Linked DNA regions of Tribolium castaneum. The protein of the gene in region 2 purifies or fractionates together with the protein of the main gene of each other region. This does not show direct contact. Links are inferred from orthologs where the notes say so. Each region holds a gene or a part of one and is shown on either strand. Other genes may lie near its edges.

Region 1 (3,523 bases), about 2.4 Mb from region 2:
TTGTTTAGGGGGGCGGAGGCCGGAGGAGGACTGTGGGCTATTTGAGTCGTAAAATTTTACGTTGGATTACGAGCTATCTGATATTTTTTTAAAAAATGGTGTTTTACTGAACCGTTTATCAAAAATTGCGTAGCCTTTGAAAGACAAATAAAAAGACTTTTTCGACGTTTTTTCTAGACTATCTGTAATTTTGGTTAAATTAAACTGGAATTTTGCGAATTTGCCTCAAATATGGAAGAATTATCGCTTCTATTTATTCAGAGTAGTAAAGCAGGTGTGTTAAAATTACTTACAATCGAACAATCTCAATAAAACAACCTCAAATTGCTAACAGTCACTGGAATACCATTTCCTTGCAACCTGATAACATATTTATTTTACACCCACTTGCTGTTCATATCTGTATACAAATTCTTCCACTATTCAAAACAAAAATTGACCAACAATATCGCTCTATTATTGTGTTAATCGGCACTTTGTATGCAGGTCATGCCTAACAATATTTAGAGGAATAAAAGCACAACAACTGGTAAAGACAGTACAATATATTACAAAATTTTCCTTTACATTTGATAAATGAACAGGAAACGTAAAACTGTAGAAAAGTCTATGAACGGGCAAAGGTTTTAAGGTCATACCTTAACAGAGTAAGAATAAAGGTAATAAATTAATTCACAATACACTCAAGCACACTTCATTATAGTCTTTTTTATATACAAAACTTGCTATTTATAATTAAATTAAATTAAAACCCTCTTAGTCCATTATAAACTTTGTTTCTTGAGCTCTGATTTAGAATTTTCTTGATAGCTGAAACAGAATTGTGGTGAGCGCTTGAAATTGGCAACTTTAACGCGAATACCTTCTTTGTCATCATCTGATAATTCTTGTTTGGGGAACTCTACATCAAATGTAATAAATAAATTCCCATGCAAGTTATTATTATCATAGTTTGGCATGCCTTCTCCTTTCTTCCTTATCCTGGCATTGGGCCAAGTGATTTTGTCCCTACTTATCGAAACCATGTGACCATCCAGATGCTGGAGTTCCATAGTGAACCCCACAAGGGCGTCCTAACAAGACAAAAATTACTCTCGTCCCTAAATACTTAACACAATTACTTGTAAACTAATCGTGATGTTAGTGTACAGATCGTCCCCTCTGCGCTCAAAAACGGGATGCGGCTGCGTCTTTATCTTAAGTATCAAATCGCCAGGGTCCCCATCTAAATGGGGCTCCCCCTCAGCCGTAAACTTCGTTTCTTGCCCATCAACCATCCCCGGCTCCACTTCCATCTCCAAAACGCGCTCCTCATTGACTAGCTTAACGTTCGGACACTCGTCGCACACCGTCTGCTGCATCATCTGGAACCTCCCGGGCCCCAGATTCCGCGTGATCATCTCTTGCCGGCAGTTGCACTTCCTGGTGCCTTTGGCCGCCCTCATCACCGGCTTATTCCGCGTAATTTCGATAAAAGTGCCCGAATATAAATCCTCCAAGGTCACGGCGATGTCCATCACCACGTCAGCGCCTCTCGGAGTCTCGTGCTTCTGTTCGCCGCCCCCGAAGGGGAACCCGAAGTCGCCGAAGAAGCTGGCGAAGGGGTCCATCCCACTGTCCATCATCCCGTCTTTCTGGAGACAGTCCTCCCCGCATCTATCATACTTCTTGCGTTTTTCCTCGTCTGAGAGGACTTCGTAGGCGGCCCCCAGGTCCTGGAATTTTTGGGAGGCTTCCGGATCTTCCTGGTTCTTGTCAGGGTGCAGCTCTTTGGCTAGGCGACGATAGGCCTTTTTGATTTCGTGCAAACTGGCGCTTTTTGAGACACCCAGTATTTTGTAAAAGTCTCGCCCTGCTAGAACTGAGGTTACCGAAATGAAAGTCAGTAAAAGCAAGACGGGCACAGAGTTCACGTTCATTTTTGGATAAAAACTTCAAACATTATATTAATATTAATTTAATTAATGGATTTTTATCGTTATGCTCACACAGCGAGAAACACGAAACGACCTTCTCAAAACATGTGGATTGCGCTGATTGGTGGATTTAATTCCCCGACTGACATTTGATTAGGTCGATTTAGGCAACCAACTTGACATTGACAATAAAAATGTGCAAAAAGTAATTGAAATGGCATTAAAATAACGCAAATTGGGCTTAATACGTGCTGGTTATTATTTCTTGACATAACCAGGAAGCTATTCGGAGGATTTAAGTAACAAATATTTTTTTGGGGTGATGACAGTTGACATAAACAAAAACATAACCTTACAAGTGAATACATTTTTTTCAAATTAAAATTGGTGGTGGTGTGGTGCTTGGTGTTAAGCCGATTTCTTGAAATGGCTCAACCACTGTGCACGTTGTGCGAGTGTCCTGTCGAAACTCTGCACTTCGATCTCCGACAATCGGTCTCCAACGATACAAGAACCCCTCTGTTGATGTTGCTCCAAGACTGCGCTGAGGAAGAGTTTTGCATAACAAATTATTTCGTTTGCGAGATGTGTTATCGCCTCCTGAATGAACTAGACAGTATTAAAGTTAGAGCAAGGAACATCGAAAACAAGTTTAAACAATATTTGCGTAAACACTGCCCCAACAAAAACTACATTGAACGAGAAGCGAGCAATAAAAGCGAGGAATGCACAATGTGTGGTCAAAAAATCCCCGGTGCGAGTTTCAAGGATCACCTGAAGACGCATGATTTGGAGACAGGTTTTAATATTGATGATCTCAGTTCGGTGTCTGAGATTCAGTCCACGCTGGATTTGTTTACGAAAGAAGCGGGAAGTGAAAGTGTGAAGAAAAAACAGAAGGATGGGACGGATCCAAAACCCTATAAATGTACTCAGTGTTCCAAAACCTGGAAAACGCCAACGGAACTGAAAAATCACATGTCGGCGCATAGCAAGGAACGTCCCTACATTTGCGAAATTTGTGGCCAGGCGTACAAGCGCCAACAAGCTTTAACAATCCACGTAGGGATGCACAAAGGGATCAATCCCTTCACGTGTGTCTACTGCAACAAATCATTCACGCAGAAGGGGGCTTTGATGAGGCACACACCCATCCACACAGGTGTGGACGCTTGTTTTTTGCTAGGAAATGATTGGTTGTTTTAGGGGAACTACCGTTTCAATGTGATACGTGTGGTAAAAGATTCGTTCACCACACCTCCTTCAATATTCATAAAATCACTCACACTGGGCAAAAACCGTACAAATGTGACGTCTGTGGCTTTTTGCTGATATCAGCGTCACACCTTAAAAGACACATGAGGGTGCATACTGGCGAGAAGAAATTTTCTTGTGGCACTTGTGGGAAAAAGTTTGCGGAAAAGTACAACTTGGCTGTTCATGAAAAACTGCATTTGGGGGTTTCCAAGAAGAAAACATACCAGTAATTTATGGTGAAAAACGGGGACAGTGGTTAAATTTTATTTTTAGGTGCCAGATTTGTGATAATGTGTACAACGGTCAAATGAAACTAGAGGAGCATCTGCTCAGTGTCCACCACAAGGTGC
Region 2 (3,968 bases):
AGTCGACGAGATCTACCATCTCGCAAGCCCCGCTAGTCCCCCCCATTACATGTACAACCCGGTCAAAACCATCAAAACTAACACTTTAGGTACAATTAACATGCTAGGCCTTGCCAGAAGACTGAACGCCAAAATTCTAATCGCCAGCACTTCGGAAGTGTACGGAGACCCCGACATCCACCCCCAGCCCGAGACGTACTGGGGACATGTCAATCCCATAGGTTGGCGACGGTGTCGTTTTTCCCCTTTGTTACTTTTGCAGTTTGTAGGCCCTCGCGCGTGTTACGACGAAGGCAAACGAGTCTCAGAGACTTTAACTTATGCTTATGCCAAGCAGGAAAACATGCAGGTGCGGGTGGCCCGCATTTTCAACACTTACGGCCCCCGTATGCACATGAATGACGGCAGAGTCGTCTCTAATTTTATCCTCCAGGCGCTGCAAAACGACGTAATCACGATTTACGGCTCAGGGCAGCAAACACGCTCGTTCCAGTACATTTCCGACCTGGTCGATGGGCTGGTAGCGCTGATGAACAGCAACTATACGCTCCCGGTGAACTTGGGGAATCCCGTGGAGCATTCAATTAACGGTATTTTTTACCTAACATTTTACTTGTATCTTTAACCGTATTCGCAGCGTTTTAAAAAATACGAGACGAAGCGCAAATTTTGAATTAATAATTTGTTTGCTCATGTTTTTGTATGAAAATTTTATTCGGCAGTTTTTGTCAGTCTGTTAAAGGAGCAAAGCTCAACATTTCTGCTTTTTTTCCACGTAATCAGTGAATTGGTTGGAATTAAAACCATTTGACGCCGAGACAGTATAACGCCTGAAGCGCTCTCTACCGTATTATTTTTTGGGTTCAGAAAATCCTGCTATTTTGTATCTCGCTTCCCCTCCTAAGTTGTAGTCCTCCGTAGTGTCAGGGATGATTATTTCCAGAATTTGCCTCAATAATTAAAGACCTGGTGGGCGGCCGCAGCAAAATCAATCATTTGGCGGAAGTGGAGGACGATCCGCAGCGCCGCAGGCCGGACATCACCCGCGCGAAAAAATACCTAAACTGGGAGCCGAAGGTGGACCTCAACACCGGCCTCCAAAAGACTGTCGACTACTTCCGCCAGGAGCTGCACCGGTTTAAGCACTCACAGAGAAACAAGTTTTTACCGAAATTGTGATAATTGTGGTTTTGTTGTAAATAAATTTTAAAATTTTCGTGTTTTTCTCAATTGGTAAGCCTGCGATGTGCTGGACCAATCAGCGCAAACCACGAAACGTAAATTTGTTGTGTTCGTGTATGTCACAAAATGGAATAAAATCGTTCGTTAAGTGGGTGTAAATAATGTTAAAGACAGTACAAATGGTACAATTAATGGAAACGACACATAAAAACCTCTGGTTGAAGTTAACACCGTATTTAGCGCTATTTATCTTTATTGACCGTAAGTGGACATAACCTCAAAATGTTGCGATTAATTCGGTTTTCCAGTTTCGGAATGTATCAATCAGGCCGAAGTTGACCGGCATTTAGAGTTAGGGAAACAATACTTAGCTAGGGGCCAATTAGGGGACGCCTTGAGCCATTATCATTCGGCTGTTGGTAAATATTTACCCCGACTTCAATAACACCGTTCACAATCAATCTATTTTTTCCAGAGGGCGACCCTCACAATTATTTAACTTATTTCAAACGCGGCACGGTTTATCTCGCTTTAGGCAAGGCCAAGAATGCAATCAGCGACTTTGACTTGGTCCTGGAGATGAAACCAGACTTCACCGCTGCTAGGATTAGTCGAGGAAATATTCACTTAAAACAGGCCAATTATGACCTGGCCCAGTTAGATTTTTATAATGTGGTAAGTAACGACTCACATAATACAGTACTTAAGTACTACAACAAAAACTCAGTTAAAAACAGACCCTTACAACCAAGAGGCCAATGATTTGATTGCACGGATAGACCCAGCCAAGGAGCGAGTGCGTTTGGCTGAATATTATTACGCCCATGATGATTACGTAAACGCAATTCACTTAGTCACGGAGGCCCTAGAGACAAGCCCCTGGGCCCCCCAGTTGTACGAGCTGCGGTCCCAGATGCATATGCACAACGGTGACGAAATGGCAGCTGTCAGTGATATCAGATCGGCCACAAAGCTACAAAGCGATAACACCGAAGGTTACTTCAAGTTATCGCAATTATTATACAAACTGGGGCATGCTTCCGAGTCCCTTAAATTCATAAGGGAATGTCTCAAACTTGATCCCGAACACAAAGATTGCTTCCCATTTTATAAAAAAATCAAAAAAGTTGAGAAATTCCTAACTGAGGCTGAGGCAGCTCTTGAGAACAAGAATTATCAGGAGTGCATTGATGCTGCTCTCAAGGCTGAAAAAAACGAAAAGGAGGTTCAGAATGTTGTGTACAATGCCAAGCGGTTGTTGTGCGCTTGTTATTCGAATGATGAGCAGTCGGAGGAGGCGGTGACGGCCTGTACTCAAGCGCTTGAAATAAACGACGACCCAAATGTTTACTGTGATAGGGCAGAGGCGTATTTACAGTCAGAACTGTACGATGACGCTATTAGGGACTACAAGGCGGCGTTGGAAATGAATTCGCAGTTTGAAAGGGCGAGGGAAGGGCTCAGCAAGGCCGAAAATCGCCAAAAACAGTCAGAACGTCGCGACTATTATAAAATCCTAGGTGTTAAAAGGACAGCTTCCAAGCGGGAGATCACGAAAGCGTACCGAAAAATGGCACAAAAGTGGCACCCCGACAATTACCAGAACGACGAGAAGATGAAGAAAATTGCCGAGAAGAAGTTTATTGACATTGCTGCCGCTAAAGAGGTTTGTTTGATAAAAAATATTATAATCTGTTCATGACTGTTTTAAACACGCTGCAGATGTTTTAGATATTTTTTTAAATTAAATTAGTTTAAAACGGTTTTTGGGTTCAGAAAAGTCTGCGATTTTGTATCTCGTTTTGCCTCCTGAGTTATAGTCCTCCGTAGTTTTGTGCTAACACTCGTTTTTTAGGTTTTGACGGACGATGAGAAGCGAAGACAGTTTGATAACGGGGAAGACCCGCTTGACCCTGAGTCAGGTCGGGGAGGAATGCCCAACTTCCATCAGTTCCACACTTTCCACGGAAGTCCGTTCCAGTTCAAATTTCATTTCAATTAAATATTTTGTGTTGTGTGGCCAACTCAGGATAAGTGTGTGATAAAAATCCATCACGGAATTTGCCAGAACAAGCTTATCTAGTTATTTTGTGTAAAAAGGGACTGATATCATGTACATAAATTAAATGAGTAGTTTTTACCATTTGTCCTTACATTGTACATATTTATATGATAATAAAATATTTATATTACGAACTTGTCTTGTTATTTGAAAGTCGGGCCCCCAAACTTAGTGACTTTACCGTTACCGCGTTGGCAATAACATCGATCTCATTGGCCGACGTTACGACTGTCATTCTTTTTGACAGATTTTGCTTTCGGTAAGTTTGGGTTTGCAACTTTCCTTAAATTAATTAAATCTTGTAAAAATCGGCAAAAATAACCCAAAAGTTGGCCCTAAAACGGTTTAATGTGCCCCAAGTGCGTGTTTTCCCGGGCGGATTGTGTCACTTCGCCCCGATAAAGTCGGATTAACCTAACTTGTTTACATGTGTGTCATTTTGTAGCGATGGCAGACGCAGCAGCGAAGAAACCCAAGGCGGCCAAAAAGGCGAAAGAAGGCGCGGAGAATGTCGCCCCAAAAAAGCGGCCTCATAAGAGACATGGGAGGTTATACGCGAAAGCGATTTTCACGGGTTACAAGCGCGGCCTTCGCAACCAGCACGAAAACACGGCCCTTTTGAAAATCGAAGGCACGAATGCCAAGCCCGATAGCTGGTTCTATGTTGGAAAGAAGTGTGTTTACGTGTACAAAGCCAAGAACAAGACTTGTGTGCCTGGAAAAC

What was found. Proteins that work in one complex are often made in the same cells at the same time.
Region 1: the proteins of P58IPK (region 2) and shv purify together in Homo sapiens (affinity purification with mass spectrometry; 3 studies listed by BioGRID and IntAct, with this or other methods). This does not show direct contact. The link is inferred for Tribolium castaneum from reciprocal best matches to the Homo sapiens genes DNAJC3 and DNAJB11.

Annotation. Positions count from the first base shown.
Region 1 is NC_087398.1:6,633,806-6,637,328, reverse strand, and holds shv (dnaJ homolog shv), read right to left. Parts: upstream 2,046-3,523; 5' UTR 1,920-2,045; coding exon 1,122-1,919; intron 1,074-1,121; coding exon 863-1,073; intron 811-862; coding exon 746-810; 3' UTR 528-745; downstream 1-527. Other genes in the region: zinc finger protein 239, read left to right, coding at 2,343-3,078, 3,123-3,399, 3,447-3,523. UniProt on the Homo sapiens protein: As a co-chaperone for HSPA5 it is required for proper folding, trafficking or degradation of proteins.
Region 2 is NC_087398.1:4,237,026-4,240,993, forward strand, and holds P58IPK (dnaJ homolog subfamily C member 3), read left to right. Parts: upstream 1-1,245; 5' UTR 1,246-1,343; coding exon 1,344-1,443; intron 1,444-1,490; coding exon 1,491-1,601; intron 1,602-1,657; coding exon 1,658-1,857; intron 1,858-1,909; coding exon 1,910-2,848; intron 2,849-3,037; coding exon 3,038-3,184; 3' UTR 3,185-3,378; downstream 3,379-3,968. Other genes in the region: Uxs (UDP-glucuronic acid decarboxylase 1), read left to right, coding at 1-221, 270-590, 944-1,179; RpL35A (large ribosomal subunit protein eL33), read left to right, coding at 3,692-3,968. UniProt on the Homo sapiens protein: Involved in the unfolded protein response (UPR) during endoplasmic reticulum (ER) stress.